2 linked regions of the Drosophila melanogaster genome follow. The protein of the gene in region 2 interacts with the protein of the main gene of each other region in a pairwise test. Each region holds a gene or a part of one and is shown on either strand. Other genes may lie near its edges. The genes, in order: Naa30A and Idi.

Region 1 (5,200 bases), on a different chromosome or scaffold from region 2:
TACCCAGGTCGCAGGCCAAATACCCTAATACCCTTAGGTGGCCTTAGCATACGTAGCTCTTGACTTATAGAACCAACTTCACTGACGAACCAACTGACAATGCTATGTCCGTTGGCTGGGGAGCCGCCAGTTACCATGATCAACCGACACAAAAAATATAGTTTAAAACAAGAAGTCCATGCCATTGTGGCCAAACTGCATATATCATTTCGTCACGTGGGTGCTAAGTGCTAAATTGTATCTCTATCTTTTAGAGATCTCCGCCAGCAAGGTGATAAGGCGTTGGCTGCGGCACCTGTCCGCTCCCGCTCTCTCCCCTTTCTTCGTTACCCTTTCTCCGCCACTGCTTTTACTTTATTCGGCCATTCACTTTCTCCGTATGTTGTTTGCTTTGCTAATTTTGGATTTGCCCGCGTCACTGCAGCAACAGCGAAAAGTGAAACAGACGTCCAGAAAAACGGACGCCAACTTGCGCTTGCAAGTTCGTATGCAAAATTTCAAGAAATTATCCAATCGCGTGGCTCGGATTATTCAATTTCAGTCAATCAAATTCAAGTCCAATTCCGTATGCAAAGTAGGCTATGCTGGTCCGAAAGCAGATCGAAGATCGAGACCGCCTGGCCTCCCCAGCCGATTTCGTCACCAGCTAGTGCTGATGTAGTCCCAGTTCTGGGGGCAGCCAGCCCAACTGAGAGGCAACGACATCGGCCATGCCGAGTTCGTTCGTTACCCAAGTCTTTCGATTATGACGTTGGGAGGAGCTGGAGTCCCCATCAAAGCGACGGGCTATAACGCTAAAACAGTCGACTGATTGCCGTCGTTAAAAATCCACAAAATTGACAGCAAACGGCAGGCGGATTTCTCCTGGCAGTTACCACATACATATGTACATACATTGTAAAATCAGGGGTTATATTTTCATTTGACTCGAAACCTTTGCAAGTTCCGAATAATCCTGCGTTCTCAACCAAGACAAACGGCAAGGAAAGTGGAGGAAGTGCAGATCTCAGGAAACTGCGGATTAGTGACTTATGTGACTTATATGATTCGAGATTGTAATTTGGTTTTATTGCATTTGATTTAGCTGTAATTTATGGATTTTATTTTATGGCGAATGCTAATGGCGCGAAAAGGAAACCAAAAGTAGGCGAAGGTCGCACTGCAGAGTTATTAATTAGTACAACTGAATTTAACTAGTAACTTACCAATTGAAGAACGTTTTTAATAGTTTGGAAATCACAAAACAAAAGAGACAAAAAAATAAGCGCAGGAGAAAACACGCACGTACACACAAACACACACACGTATACTTTTAAATGGCGAGTGTAAGTGAACATACGTTTCGAGCAATTTATTGGACTTCCATCCGTTTTCGGGTAACATTTCGATGCTACTCATTGCCACGACATGCACTTAATTATAACTAACACTTCAAACTGATTTGCAGCACTTTTTTCAAACAAAAGTCCCGTAAATCAAAAATCTTTACGCCGTAAAATAGTTGCTTCTTCTTTAAGAAGAAAAGGAAGAACAAGAAGAGAACTTTGAAATGAGCAGCTTCTTCTTCTTATTATTGATCCTCTTTTCCGTTATGTACAGCACACCCTCGCAAAAAGGCACAAGCTGACGATCTAATTTGGCAAAAGTATTGCAAATACAAATAAGTTAACATTCCAAAGTCAGAAATTAAATGGCAGCTATAAAGAATATAGGTATGAGAATATTACGTTTAAAGATTGTAATAATATTACAAAGATCAAATCTAATCAAATATCAAATATATGAACATTTGCGATGTAAGGTGCATGCCAAATATAAATTTGATAAAATCAACGTAGTTTTAGATTTTATTTAATATAATTTTTAAATATTTTCATTAATCTTAGCTGTTAATTTAATAGTAATAATATCAATTGATAATTCGATAGCCGATAGTCACAGTTGGCCGGCGATGATTGTATCGATAGTATCGAGTGCCAATCGATTGCTGTTACAGCTGTTCGCGCATATGTGTGGGTGGGATTTATTCATAGCAAGGAAAATTACGAGTTTTGCGGATATAGGATTTTACATAAGTTTGCCATGCACACGCACTAGCGCCACAAATCGAGATCGGATTGATCGATCCGGAACTCCGAATATCGGAAGCACAACAAAGAGGACGGCCGACTGCCCCATGTGTGCGTGCGCGAGTGTGTGAGTATGTGCGTGAGCGTGTGCGTGTGCGTGTGAATGAAAAACCATCAACTGTGAAAATATAACCAAAAATAAGTCCGAGGCACACGGTTGCAGGCGAGGATTACCAGTCCTCCCAGATAAGCCCCGGAGGAGCAGCAGGTTCCCTCTTAGAGCCAATTCCGTCGCTTTTCAGAATGGCGGATGCCCAGGCAGCGGCGGCCGGAAAGAAGAAGTACAAGAACAAAAAGAACTCAGCGGAGAAGAACCCCAATCACAATCCAAATTCCAGTGGCCAGGTGGAGGCACAGACACCCAGCAATGGACACGTTCAGCACCAAGAGGAGGAGGCGACGGAAGACCAGGAGCCAGCGCAGGAACTCAGAGGCCTGCTTAAAAAGATGCACCTTTGCAATGGCCATGGTCACAAGGAGCAGGAGGCTCGGCCGCTTGGGGAGGTCGTCAATGGCCATGCACATGGGCACAGCAACAACAATCACATTCGCTGCACAAGCGGCAGCAGCAACAACAACAACAGCACTCACAACAACAACAGCGTGGACAGCAGCAACAACAACCGCAAGCAGCGAAGAGAAGGAGGCGACGGCGGAGGATCGGATTCGAACTCCCTCAAACCGGAGGAGAAGCCCATAACAGCCACAAGCAAAACCACTGCCAACATACACCCAACCACAACGACGGACCCAAAACCAAAAGTGTCGGAGGATGTAGCTGTGGAACAGGGAGTGCATGTGGCGACGGGGAGTGGCCACAGTCGGGAGCAGGAGAGGAAGCAACCGCCCTCCGACTATGCAGAGGGGGCCACGCCCACCATTACAGCACAGCTCCAACTGCCGGAACCTGCCATTTCAGCCGACGAGATCGTATATAAGGAATACGAGGCTGAACACCAAATGCATGTGAGTACCTCCAAGTATGACCAAGTGCGAACTGTGCGCAACACTTATCTAATTCCCCGCATATCGAACACGCAGGACATCATGCGACTGATCCAGGCGGAGCTGTCCGAGCCGTACTCGATATACACGTATCGCTACTTCATCTACAATTGGCCAAAACTCTGCTTCCTCGCCTCGCACGACAATCAGTACGTGGGCGCCATCGTGTGCAAGCTGGATATGCACATGAACGTGCGGCGCGGCTACATCGCCATGCTGGCCGTGCGCAAGGAGTATCGCAAGCTCAAAATCGGCACCACGCTGGTCACCAAGGCCATAGAGGTAGGATGTCTGGGGCATCTTTCCCTTGCAATAAGTTATAAATCGGGTTGCATGTAATCGATGCTCGATATGTGTGTTACGGAACAATTATGTGTTGTTAACTATGGATGAAATTGCCATCAAAGCTCACCAATGGCTCCTCGAGCCTCGAGGTATACTTTCGGGCACATTGGCGAGGGATACATACCAACTACCTCTCTTTCTGTGAAAACTTATATCACACTGCAATTTTCCCATTTGCAGGCAATGCTGGCCGACAATGCCGACGAGGTGGTGCTTGAGACGGAGATGCGTAACCAGCCGGCTTTGCGGCTCTACGAGAACTTGGGCTTCGTGCGAGATAAGCGGCTGTTCCGCTACTATCTTAACGGGGTGGACGCGCTGCGGCTGAAGCTCTGGTTTAGATGAGTGGACCCGGCGGCTGCCGTTGAAATTGTTGTCTAAGTAGCCGCCGAAGATGTCGAGATCTGCGCTCTGCGGAGGACCAGGGCGCTCCCCTCGTCCTGGGTCCTGGCCAGCTGGCAGCTTGTATCGGCGCCCTCTTTTTTGTACCTATTTAACTAGGAAGCATCGTAGCATCAGTTTATTTTCTCCCCAACTCACACCGTCCCTTGTCTCTCTTTCATTTGTAAATTATTTTATTATGTAGCAGCAGCAGTACGAGCAACATCTGCTACATATGCAGGAGCAGCACGAGCAGCACACAACGGACCCGAAATTTGGTTAATTTTACAGGAGGCAATTTTGTATGCAATACGTGATTTACATGCATAAAATTAAGCATTAAAGTCGTAAGCAAGCAATTAGTTATGTACATTAAACAATCTACAAAAACCAATCTAGGGAATAGACAACAACATGAAGCAGCAGCGCAGCACACGCTCATCGACGCCCATTTACAAAGCTATAAACATAGTATCAAATTTTGTAAAAAGATCAATCAAAGCGATGATCGCGCAAGTCGAACGATAAACTCGATCATGTATATCAAAATAAACGCAATTGGAACCAAGAGCTGAGAACAGACACACAAAAATGCAGCCTCATATGCATACTTGTATACAAACCTTCAATGGGTGGATGGCGGTGGTCCTCGCGGCTAAGAAAACTCGCCATCTGGTCTTAAGTAACCTCTCTGTGCTCTCCAGAAACACGTAACACGTAGCGATAAGGATAAAGATGTGGTGGATCCCGAGTAACATTGAAAGAACGCAATAAAATCTTCAACAAATGCGAAAATCCTGCCTTCTGTTCTTTAGTTTAGCACAACTTGGGGAATAGCGAGCTTGTTTGGAAGTTTGTGTGGTGTTTTCCAATTGAGAAACTATATGCCAGTACGGTATTTTCGTTTTATTATCATAAAAAACAGAATTATAACTACTCGAACTAGGAAAGTATGTCTTACGGATAACTACTCATCCACAAAGTCAAATAATGACTGCTTCCTTCGGCTCTTTTTGACGTGCCCCACCGATCTTTCCCTGCCCTGCCACACTTGGTCGCATTCGTCAACAACAATCGGTTTCAATACTCAAAGTCGGATCGATCATGGACTTATCCTAACTAGCAGGAGGTTTTAAAGTATGAACAACATTCAATTCAGCCAACGGCGGCTGCCCTAACCTTAAGCTGGACTCACCATGAATGTGAAGTTGTGGCTTATCCTAAGTATGTATGTACATGGGCGGTGTCAGTCTCGGAAACATCACCTGCTTCGCCGTCGATTATTGGGACTGCTCGTCGGAACTGAGCTGCCTGATCCGCGCAGCTGCTTTAGTTCGGAG
Region 2 (3,778 bases):
GGAACTGAACGACAAAGTGTGCCACCCAGCAGCTTTAAACCCGTAACTCTATAGATTCAACGAGCCTGAGATTCACGATAGACTCATACCTATGTGCCTTAACCACTAATCGAATTCAGGATGAAGCGCTTATCCTGATCCCCACACATACACACATCCACAAATACGACCCCCATTGCATGCGAAAAGTACGTATACGTATATAACTATATATTCACCCCCTGCCGTAAAGGTGCAAACCATCGATCGAAGTTTGCAGGGTCTAGCTTTAAGTTGTTGGAATTTCCGAGCAATTGCTTTATTTACTCGAGTACCCAGAGAAACGGTGCCAAGGTGGTGCCTCGTGAACGTCGACTCCGGATTCGCCCGGGGTCTGCACTTCACGCCTCGAAGCGCGCGCTTCGAACTCGCTCCCGAAGCGATATATGTTAATGTTAAGTGCTGCAGCTTGTCTTTTGTTTGTTTCTTCTGTATTTAGGCTAGAATCAATACTTTTAGTTTGTGTCTCTGTTAGCCTGTAGTCGTACTTTTGTACATATTTATTCTTGTTGCGACGATGACGATGATGATGATGATTATGGGAAACGTAATGTGATCATTTTAAAAGCTAATTAGTTATTTGATATTCAACATACAAACACATTAGTTAGGCTATGAAACATATTGAATATCGTGCGCCTATACAAACTATATATGTATTGTTATATTTACATATACAAAAGCGTTGTACTGAACTGATCGACCCGCGGAGGTTGCATAAAATCCGCTTTGTGCCCATTGTCCGCACACAGACACACACTATTTTCCATTTGAATAAAGCGAATTTGAAACCCAAACGAACAAAAGCCCCTTTTAGACGTCATTACGTGTATTTTTGGTTGGTTAGCACACTTAAAAGCGCTGAATATTACTCAAGTCCTCAAATTGCTCCAGCTGGTGCAAATTGTCCCACCAGAGTTTCAATCGATGCTGCAGAATCAGAGAGAACCAGGGTGTCAGCGGGGCACTAAACTTCGCCACCGCCTCGTCGATCTTATCGCGGCGCAAGTAGCGCACCTCACTGACCTCGTTGCTATTTGGACGCAGCGTCACGTCTTTTTGCAGGAACAGGATGTAGTCTATCTCGTGCTCGCCCCACACGCCGTCGCCCGTGTCTGCGTAGTGGATGCGGGTCAGGTAGCGAAAGTCCTGTGGCTGCAGTTCCTCTGTGGGAATGCCCAGTTCGTAGTTGAGACGTCGTTGAGCGGCCACACGGATGCCCTGTGCGTTGCGCTCCTGACGTTCCTGTTCGATTTCGTAAAGCGGATGGCTGCAGCACGCGTTGGTGTAGGTGTTTGGGAAGGTTATCTAAGGATACAGAGGATTATGGACCTTGTAATAAGGGGATTACCCTTTAATTTCACCTTGTGAGACGATCGCTTCTGCACTAGCATCTCTCCCTGAGAATTGAAGAGAAAAACACTGAAGGCGCGATGGAGCTTAACATCATTCGTCTCTGGATGCACACGGTGGCAGTCTGCCTTAGAGGCGGCCCCAATGGCTTGGTCGTTGGCGTCAACCAGGATGCACTGTTCCTTTAGAGCGTGAGCCTGCAGAGGATCGTGTACGGCGAACTCCGTGGGCACCTGGCGCTGATGTTTCTGGCCCACCGCTGTCGTTGAGCAACCGCGCAGCCAGGATACGCGGGGCAACAGGAGATTCAAGCGAGAGGCCAACATTTTTGGTAAATGACTAGTTTGGAGTGGTGGCCAAAACAAATATGAAAGTGAAACTTCGTAATACAGCGCGCGGGTCTGCCAACTCGTTTGCTTTCTGCGCGAACTGTTTGCAACACTGACGAGGTAACAGCTGTTCCGGAACAGTAGTGGTAGCCCTGGTCCCAGTGATACACAATTTGCTCATAATCAGTTTTTCGCCCCCATTCTCGAAACAAAAAAAGTTGTAAATAAGCAGGAAACGGTTTAACCAATTTCCCGAAAAATGGTAAGCAACTAGCCAGCTATAAGCTTAGACCCCTATTTGACCTTCCATTCGCCCAGATACGATTCATACTTATACAAAACCGAGCTGGAAAAACTCGCCTGGCCAAGTGGTATATGAACTTCGATGACGACGAGAAGCAGAAACTGATTGAGGAGGTGCATGCCGTGGTCACAGTGCGCGATGCCAAGCACACCAACTTTGTGGAGGTGGGATCGAGTCCATATGTTCTTTTGAATCACCCTTTTATCACACTTTTGCCTTTGTAGTTCCGCAACTTCAAGATCGTCTACCGACGCTATGCGGGTCTGTACTTCTGCATCTGCGTGGACGTAAACGACAACAACCTGTGCTATCTGGAGGCCATTCACAACTTCGTGGAGGTGCTCAACGAATACTTCCATAATGTGTGCGAGCTGGATCTGGTCTTCAACTTCTACAAGGTGTACAGTGTGGTGGACGAGATGTTCCTGGCGGGCGAGATCCGGGAGACCTCGCAGACGAAGGTGCTCAAGCAGCTGCTCACGCTAAATTCGCTGGAGTAGCGGCCCAATTCATACATATGTATATCGGATCTGCCAGATGCATTCCCCCAGGCGCTACACCCGCCTATCGAATCTTCTTTCATATACTATTACGCGTATTATTATTATTATCTTTAATGTGTTCTCTATGCAAACACTCAAATGTTAAAGGCCGTGTTTAGAAACAAATGATGTACCATAAGAGATTGTATGCAAAAGTTAAGTATTTTTGTTTTTATATGGGGTGTGTTAGGGGTCATTTGGCGATAATCCATATATTTTCTTCTCTGGTTCCGCCCACTCACCTCCGTAGACAAGATAATGTGTAGCCCTGGTTGGAAGAGGGCCCCGCGCATTTTCCAACACTGCCGCTAATGCCACTTCGTCATTTTTTCAGTCGCCATTGTTCTCGTTCTCGGCCGTCGAATTTGTGGAAATAAACGTATTTCCCATTTAAATTCGCTGCAATAATTACAATAGCGAACTGCAAAACACAACACAAGCCGAGTGCGTGTCGATTTCCAGTATTTCGGAACGCGCAAATCAAATAAAAACACTCTGAACAGCAGCCAGTCCAGGGCCAGAAATCGAATATTTGTTCGTGGCAAATATATAATCTTGTGAAAAAGCCAGAAAATGTCATCTGTGAATCCGGAATAGTAAGTCGTCACACGTAATTATGCGCAGTTATCTGGAGTTAAAACAGTGACTGGGCTTCCACTTCCTTTTCTGGCCTTCGAAAATAGTTTCTTTTATTTTTTCTGCGACGTCATTTCTGCTACGTTTCATTCCCATTCATTATCGAGCAGCCCCACTCCACTCCCTTTTGCCCTCGTTGGCAACTCCAAAAAAACAGACCATTTGCTAAAAACAAAATACACACTCGGACCTAACAACCGACCCAATCGAGAAACCATAACCAAAACTGTGTGTTTCAGCTGGATTTCAATGTAGTGCCCACGGGCGAGGCGATGAAAAGCGCGTTCGAAACTCTCATCGGAATCTGCATATGTATAAAGTCCACACATATATACAGCGAGATCCCAGTTGACGGGCCAAATCGCTAGTCGGGCGGATGAGTCACCTGCGTGGAGAGCCTTTCCCACCCCCAGCGCAGTGCTACGTAATCAAAGGCCATTCCAGTGCTACTTAATTGCCGCTCTCACTCAAGGCAATTAAATCTGAACCGATCTTGGTTCGCACTCTCCAGAAAGCCTCCTTCAATAGCCAGCATACATGTGTGCAGAGGATTGGAACACTATCGCATATCATTC

Evidence for each region.
Region 1: the proteins of Idi (region 2) and Naa30A interact in a two-hybrid assay, tested with the Drosophila melanogaster proteins (one large-scale study listed by BioGRID).

Annotation. Positions count from the first base shown.
Region 1 is NC_004354.4:1,340,120-1,345,319, forward strand, and holds Naa30A (N(alpha)-acetyltransferase 30 A), read left to right. Parts: upstream 1-1,986; 5' UTR 1,987-2,372; coding exon 2,373-3,095; intron 3,096-3,170; coding exon 3,171-3,416; intron 3,417-3,659; coding exon 3,660-3,824; 3' UTR 3,825-4,651; downstream 4,652-5,200. Other genes in the region: MTPAP (mitochondrial poly(A) polymerase), read right to left, coding at 5,122-5,200.
Region 2 is NT_033777.3:21,268,156-21,271,933, reverse strand, and holds Idi (Isopentenyl-diphosphate delta isomerase), read right to left. Parts: upstream 1,809-3,778; 5' UTR 1,719-1,808; coding exon 1,404-1,718; intron 1,348-1,403; coding exon 892-1,347; 3' UTR 526-891; downstream 1-525. Other genes in the region: AP-2sigma (adaptor protein complex 2, sigma subunit), read left to right, coding at 1,981-1,983, 2,040-2,189, 2,250-2,525; Rab1, read left to right, coding at 3,141-3,163.